Callithrix jacchus: one gene and its partner. The protein of the gene in region 1 interacts with the protein of each later gene in a pairwise test. Links are inferred from orthologs where the notes say so. Each region holds a gene or a part of one and is shown on either strand. Other genes may lie near its edges. The genes, in order: CKM and ASB9.

Evidence for each region.
Region 2: the proteins of CKM (region 1) and ASB9 interact in binary tests that used the Homo sapiens proteins (3 or more experiments, as listed by UniProt). The two-hybrid records come from large-scale screens. The link is inferred for Callithrix jacchus from reciprocal best matches to the Homo sapiens genes CKM and ASB9.

What each region holds. Positions count from the first base shown.
Region 1 is NC_133523.1:39,501,678-39,505,976, reverse strand, and holds the start of CKM (creatine kinase M-type), read left to right. Parts: upstream 1-1,205; 5' UTR 1,206-1,259; intron 1,260-4,299. UniProt on the Homo sapiens protein: Reversibly catalyzes the transfer of phosphate between ATP and various phosphogens (e.g. creatine phosphate).
Region 2 is NC_133524.1:15,539,500-15,543,310, forward strand, and holds part of ASB9 (ankyrin repeat and SOCS box protein 9), read right to left. Parts: intron 2,359-3,811; coding exon 2,167-2,358; intron 1,033-2,166; exon of another isoform or gene 1-1,032. UniProt on the Homo sapiens protein: Substrate-recognition component of a cullin-5-RING E3 ubiquitin-protein ligase complex (ECS complex, also named CRL5 complex), which mediates the ubiquitination and subsequent proteasomal degradation of target proteins.

The DNA of each region.
Region 1 (4,299 bases):
TTCTTTTCTTCCTCGCAATCCTGGGAGCTCCCTGGAGGAGGAGACCCGATCAGCCTGCAATCTTGGCGCGCCTCAGAAGAAAGCGGCTTCCTCTATGCGGTACCCTCTTCCACAGAACCCCCTTCTCAGCCCTTGAAGTCCTTGGTCACAGCCGAGGCACGGAGAGCGCTTGCCATGCCAGATCCGCGCGAGTGCGAGTCTAGCGCCCGCGCTCTAAACCGCGTCGCTGCCCAGCCCCCTTCCCGGGGGGGCGGGGAGCTGCCACTCAGGGCCCCGTGGCTGCCCTTGTAAGGAGGCGAGGCCCGGGGACACCCGAGACGCCCGGTTATAATTAACCAGGACACGTGGCGATCCCCCCTCCAACACCTGCCCCCGAGCCACCCCAAACCCAGCGCCTTCGCAGAGGAGGAGACAGCAAAGCGCCCTCTAAAAATAACTCCTTTCCTGGCGGCTGAGACCCTCCCTGTCCCCCGCGCAGCAGAGATTTCCCAGTGGCACCGAGGGGGCAAGGGTTAAGCAGGGGGAGGGTGACCACCGTCTCCCACCCCAGCCCTGAGTTTGAATCTCCCCAACTCGGCCAGCCTCAGTTTACCCTCCGCTCAGTCCCTAGAAGGAAGGGGCGTCCAAGCGCAGGTTTCTGGGGTTAGATTGCCCTCTCCTGCAACTGGGCTTGCCTGGACCCTCCCTGTGGGTGGTGGCAGCAGGCGGCCACACAGCCTCTCCTGGCCTTTGCTTCCTCCTGCTCCCAGGGCACCTGGTCCTCCTGGAGCCACGGCATGGTTCCCCAAGGTGCCGCTGGGACTGGGCTAGGGGTGAGGGCCCAGGGGCACACACAGGAGGGGCTGGCGGCTGGAGGAGACTCAGGGGCCAGGGGAGGGTGGCTTCTACGTGCTTGGGATGTTCCCAGCCACTGTCCCGTGTTCCCGGCGGGGGGCCAGTTGTCCCCACCGCCAGCCCGACTCAGCACTTGGTCAGGGAATCAGTTTGGTGGGGGGGCTTGGGTCCAGCCCCTGGGGCAGCTTAGCCCATACAAGGCCACGGGGCTGGGCGCAAGGCATGCCTGGGTTCGGGGTGGGCATGGTGCCCAAGCAGGGAGGTGAGAGGCTCAGCTGCCCTCCAGGACTCCTCCCTGGGGACAGTCCCTCCCAGCCAATAGCACAGCCTAGGTCCCCCTATATAAGGCCATGGCTGCAGGCCCTTCCTTTGGGTTAGTGTCACCTCCAGGATACAGAGAGCCCCCTTCAGCCCAGCCCAGCCAGGTACTGCATGGGGACAGGAATCTGGGTGGGGGCCAGAGAGGGGGAGTCTCTGTGGGTGCCAGAGGCTGTCTCAGCTCGGGAAGGGGCCTGTGGGCCACCCCCTGCCCCACCAACACCCTCCTTTACAAAGGCAGGCTGGTGCGTGGGAAGGCTGACCTCTGTGTCTGGGAGTCCCCTCCATCTGTGAGGCCGCCTGAACCCCCCGCTGGGATTTGTCATTTCTTCAGCACAAGTCTTGGGTTATGGGGAGGGATCCCAGAGATGACAGGGGTCTTGACAGCTGCCAACTGTCACCCCCTGCAAGGGGCTATTGAGCCAGGCCCGTGTTGATTACAGTTTGTCACCAGCACTGGCGCCACCAGCCGTGGGAGGTGTGTCTGTGTGTCGCCCGGCAGAGTCTGCAACGGCAGGTGTTTCGGGTGTCTTTTCGATTGCTGCCGTGTGGGTCCCTGTGACCTTGCATCTGACTTGGTAGCTCACACAGGAGTGCCTCTATCTTGGGCATGTCTCTAAGCTTGGAAGTGTGACTGTGTGACTTGGTTTACAGTGTGATCTGGGGAGTGTACTGTGGTGGGGGTTCATGGCTCTGGGGCTTTCTGCTTGTGTCTCTTGGGGGGGTCACCAACCTTGCCTCAGTGCCCGCTCTTGGGGTGTCCCTGGCAGGGATTGGGGGAGCATCCTCTGAAGGGCAGGGGTCTGGGCTGCCAGCCTGGGATGTCCTTGAGCCCCAGGGCCTGGACTCATGTCCCCCCAGCCACCCTGGCCCACCTGTTTCAGGGCCTGCTGACTTGGTGCAAGCCGAGCCCCGGAATGTGGGGGTGGGGCCGGGCAGCAGCTGGGGGTGGGGCGGCAGGCTGCTGCCAGATCCTAAAAATAACCACCCTGGACAGCAGCGCCCAAGGTCTTTGGCGGGTCCCTGCTCCCCTTCCAGCCCTTAGCTCACCGTGGTCCCAACTGCCCTCCTCCAGTCCCACCTGCTTCCCATCCCCCTCTCCTACCCCTGCTGGAGGTCCTTTCTCCTTTCTGGGTCCAGTGAATAAAATAATAATAACAATAGGACTGGGCGCAGTGGCTCACACATATAATCCCAGCATTTTGGGAGGCCAAGACAGGAGGACCCCTTGAGGCCAGGAGTCCCGGACCAGCCTGGGCAATATAGTGAGACCCCACCACTACAAAAAAAAGTAATAATAACAATAATAGCAGCCACCAGGGTTCCAGGCTCCAACTCCATGTCAGGGCCTGTGCTCAGCCAATCCCATGGCCAAGCTCAGAGGATCCTGGAAATCCTATGGGGCAGGCTCAGTTCACAGGAGACAGAGCTCCAGAGAGGCCTAGTGACTGGCCTGGAGTCACACAGCAGGGAAATGGCATAGGTGGGATTTGAACCTGGCTCTGATGATCCAGAGGCTGAGCTTCTCTTCCCTGCTGAGCCCTGTGGGAGAACTGTCAGCAGACAGAGGTGTGGGCAGCCATGCGGCACCCCCCCAGACCCAGCCCTTTGTCTTTGGATTGGTAATCTGAGAACCTGCTCACATACTGACTCCCAGCAATACCCTCACCTCCACCTTTTCACCAGGTCCTCCCACAAACTAACAACAGGCCAGGTGTGGTGGCTCAAGCCTATAATCGCAGCACTTTGGGAGGCCAAAGTGGGCGGATCACTTATGGTCAGGAGTTCAAGACCAGCCTGGCCAACATGGCGAAACCCCATCTCTACTAAAAATACATACACACACACACACACACACACACACACACACACACCCTAGCTGGATATGGCACACGCCTGTAATGCCAGCTACTCGGGAGGCTGAAGCAGGAGAACTGCTTGAACCTGGGAGGTGGAGGTTGCAGTGAGCTGAGATCTCTCCACTGCACTCCAGCCTGGGCGACAGAGCGAGACTTAACATAATAACAACAATAGCTAAGTGAAATAATGCTTATTGTGTACCAGGCACTGTTCTGAGAGCTATATCTCCATTCACACATTTAATCCTTTCAACACTCCTGTGCACTGAGTGCTATTATGATCCTCATTTTCCAGATGAGTAAATTGAGGCACAGAGAGGTTAAGCAATTTGCCCCTGGCCACACAGCTAGTTGTGGTAGCAGAGCTGGGAATCCAACCCTGGGCCAGTTCCAGAACCTACACTTTACCCACACATGGTATTTTTCCAGACTCGGGGTGGGGCCTGTTTTCCACTTGGGGAAACTGAGTCTCCAGCAAGAATGACTAGTTCAGGCTCACCTGGCTGGGATGTGGCAGAGCCGGGCTCCTGACCTAAGACTCCAGATGCCTTCCTGCTGAGATGCAGGGGCTCAGAGAGAGACATTCCCCTGCTCCAGGTCACACAGCCTGGCTGACCTCAACGCCTCACTTGGTTCTCTTGCTGCCATCTGCAAGATGTGAGCCAGGCTGGGCGCAGTGGCTCACGCCTGTAATCCCAGCACTGTGGGAGGCCGAGGTGGGTGGATCACTTGAACCCAGAAGTTTGAGACCAACCTGACCAACCAGTAGAGATGGTGAAACCCCATCTCTACTAAAAATACAAAAAATTAGCCAGGCGTGGTGGCACACGCCTGTAGTCCCAGCTGCTCAGGAGGCTGAGGCAGGAGAATCCCTTGAACCAGGAAGCAGACTCTGCAGTGAGCCGAGATCTCACCACTGCACTCCAGCCTGGTGACAGAGCGAGACTCCGTCTCAAACTAAATAAATAAATAACAAGAATCACTTGAACCCAGGAGGTGGAGGTTGCAGTGAGCCGAGATCTCACCACTGCACTCCAGCCTGGTGACAGAGCGAGACTCCGTCTCAAACTAAATAAATAAATAACAAGAATCACTTGAACCCAGGAGGCGGAGGTTGCAGTGAGCCGAGATCACACCACTGCACTCCAGCCTGGTGACAGAGCGAGACTCCGTCTCAAACTAAATAAATAAATAACAAGAATCACTTGAACCCAGGAGGTGGAGGTTGCAGTGAGCTGAGATCTCACCACTGCACTCCAGCCTGGGTGACAGAGCAAGACTCTATCTC
Region 2 (3,811 bases), on another chromosome or scaffold:
AAACACTGCTTTAGATGCTTATTAAGGGTGAGGTGGTAATATTCTTGAAATCTTTTCCCTTTTCCTCAGCAAAAGAGAAAATCTTACCCTTCCTAACACCCATGCAAAGCCCAATTCAGAACATGGTTGGGTTTTACCAATATTCTGTTGCTATACCATTGAAAGAGGACAGTAACTGAATGAATTCCCTTCCCCGGGAAACAAACAGGTAGACTGAAGCAAATGAATTTGCAGGGGCACCCAGGGACAGAAACTGCTGTGAGCAATCCACAGGTCTAGTTTTCTGTACTTGCCTAGCCCCATGTCTTGTAGGTGCCCAAACCCTCTGAGAGGTGACTGTACCAAAACCCCAAGAGTGACTCATGGAGGCAAAACAACTGGTGATTCTCTCCAGCAGCAAATGACACCTCATAAACTAGTAGAATCATTGGCCCCATTGTCACCGTGCAAAACATGCATTAAAAATTAATTACTGTCTCTGGGAATGGCTTTGGGAAACAAAGCAGAAGGGAAAAGCCAGGGAAGGACATTTGAGAATCCTGTGGAGTTACTTGATGGAGGAGGAGACATCTACATCCTACATGAATATATACCCTACATTATGACTGAGGGGTACCTGAGGGACTTTTGCCTCTGTGAATCCCTTTCTCAATTAAAACAATGAAAAATTCTATTTCGCAACTATGTTGGTATAAAGACGATTCCAATCCATGTTGTTTTATTCATTTTTTGTCCTAATTTTTTAAAAATTAAGATATATTGGCCCGGTGCAGTGGCTCACACCTGTAATCCAGCACTTTCGGAGGCCGAGGCAGGTGGATCACGAGGTCAGGAGTTCAAGACCAGCCTGGCCAACATGGTGAAACCCTCTCTCTACTGAAAGTACAAAAATTAGCTGGGTGTGGTGGCATGTGCCTGAAGTCCCAGCTACTCGGGAAGCCGAGGCAGGAGAATCACTTGAATCTGGGATGCAAAGATTACCGTGAGCTGAGATCATGCCATTGCACTCCAGCCTGGAAACACATTAAGACTCTGTCTCAAAAAAAAAAAAGATATAATTATGGGCCTTGTAGACATAAAACTTTGTTAAAACAAGTGATTATTAAGATGCAGATAGAAGTGCTCAGTGATTATCCCACTGCTTAACTGAAAGGAGCCTCTAGTGGACTATTCCTTATACCTGGAGTCAGTCTTTTGCCTGACCAGCACTGCTCAGGAGCATAGGCCTGCAAATGCCTGCAGGAGCATAGTCCCATACTCCAAGGCAGGGACTTGACTGCAAGTACCCTGGGGCAGTGAGAGGTGGAGGAAAGAGGACTCCTAGGCACACTTTACAGATCTGCCCAAAGCCAACCCTACTTCTTACCATGTGGGGAGAAAAGAACTAGACTGTATGATATCAGAATCCTTTTGGTAGGAAGGCCTGCTTCAAAGTCCCAGAATCCCTAAGACTTTACAGTCCACACTCTGGTAAGAAAAGAAGTACTGAGCTGGTTGCTCACCTGCCTCCAAGCCCATGAAGATTGGAACAGGGTGACTCCCCAACTTGAGCTGTCTTTGTTCACCAACCCTACCCAGGCCTCAAAGCCCTACTCCCATACACACTGCTCAACCACAGTATTTCATTGTTTGGGTTGGGAGTGTCATTCCTTACTTATAGAGGTGTGGACTTATTGCTGGTTAACTTATCATAGTAAATGTCCTTGGATTGGTGTGAACCCTAAATTCTCAAAGAGCTGCATTTTAAGCCCAGAAACCAAGTATCCAGTAGTCTGGCCCATCTGTGGTACAGTAAGATATCCTGGGGCCTCATACCCCCAAGAGGCCTCTGCTACCTCATTCTAAAGGATCTTTTAAATACATGTAATACTAAAATTTTAAAATAATACCTTAATTTTTAAAAACCTGGCCTACACCATATATGAATATTACATCATCTCAGAAACCTATATCCAATATGCTAAACAGCAGGATAGTTATTTACTGTACTGTAACCAGTACTGTACACCTCACTGAATATTGAATCATCTCAACTTCCACATATTTGGGGATGGCAGAGAATGGTCTTTTTACAGGACTGGAAGTCAGAAATTGCTAAATACCTGCCTCTTACTAAAGCCTGAAGGGGTGTCTACAATTAGGGCTTAGATTTTGGCAATGAAGCACCTTCTCTCTCCAGGAAGACCTGGCACAAAGGGCTCTCTGGAGGCACCAGGTCCACAGGACGTTTGCCTTCAGCATTCTTGGCCTGGGTGTCTGCTCCAAAATCCATGAGTAGGCAAGCTAGCTCTTCATTGACCGTCTCTGCCACTGCATGAAGTGGGGAATCATGACCTTTGCCTTGGTTCACGTCTGCACCTAAATAGTCACAAGAACAAAAAAAAAGTCAGCAAGGAGCAGAATCCAACCATCCTCCTTTCAAAGCAATAAGCCCCAAAATTCCCTAACAAGAGGGGATCCATATTGAGCACAGCAATTCTGGGAAAATGGGAGATGCTTTGATTCCATTTCATAATGTGGAGAAAATCCCATCTAATAATGTCATTGAATGTACAGCATGAGCTATATAGCATATGAAGTTAAAAATCTGCCTTTCAGCACTGTACATAGGCATGATACATCTAAGAAAAATCCCAGTGACAGAAAAGCTGCACGTCATTATTAATGGAACCTAAGTATTAGCCAGTAGAGCCTGGGGGTGACGCTAGATGGTGAAATCCAGCATACAACAAGCAGCCAAACTCACCTGGTGTGTGCAGCTGCCACAGGGTGTAAAACATGGTGCTTGGGTGATTTGGACTTTGTAAAGCAACCAACTCATGGGGTTATCCCCTGCATTGGACTGACCAATCCATCCCGAGATCACGGGGAAGGTGGCAAAGTTCTCCCCTTGAGGAGTAAGGCAGATTTCTAGGACTGTCCCCACCCAATTCCACTCCTACATTCTTTTTTTTTTTTTTTTTTTTGAGACGGAGTTTCGCTCATTACCCAGGCTGGAGTGCAATGGCGCGATCTCGGCTCACCGCAACCTCCGCCTCCTGGGTTCAGGCAATTTTCCTGCCTCAGCCTCCTGAGTAGCTGGGATTACAGGCACGCGCCACCATGCCCAGCTAATTTTTTGTATTTTTAGTTGAGACGGGGTTTCACCATGTTGACCAGGATGGTCTCGATCTCTTGACCTCGTGATCCACCTGCCTCAGCCTCCCAAAGTGCTGGGATTACAGGCGTGAGCGACTACTCCTGGCCCACTCCTACACTCTTAACAAATCTCTACCCCAGCCCAGATGCTGGCGCTCACTGTGATATGTGCGAACATGTGGCTTTGCCTGAGCTGCCATCTGTCTGGTAAAATGAAAATCTATGTCCATTCAACAAATGTTAACTGATCTGGTCTTGTATTGTTCTTAACTGTGTGGAATGTCAAACATGGCCCTTTCCAGGCTACAGGCTTAAAATCCACCCAGAATGGTGGAGGGTGTGGTGGGAGGTGGGAGAGAGAATGCATCTCTTAATTCATAGCAATGCCTGCCAAATGAGTAGGAGGCAATAAGGACTATAACAACATTCACTGGAAAAGAGATTACTAGAGTCTTAAAGAGTAAATAGGACTCAGATAATTAGAGAGGTGGTGAAATGGTATTGAGAAGGGGGCTGGACAGCAGCAGGGAGGTGAAAAGAAATAAGGGAACATAGGCCTTTTCAAGGAAAACATAGTATTTGCAATGGGCTAAAAGTGGGGCATGTTCAATATCTAAATCAAAGACAACTGGTGAAGGTCCCAAATAGGAACCTATTCAACACTAATCCAACA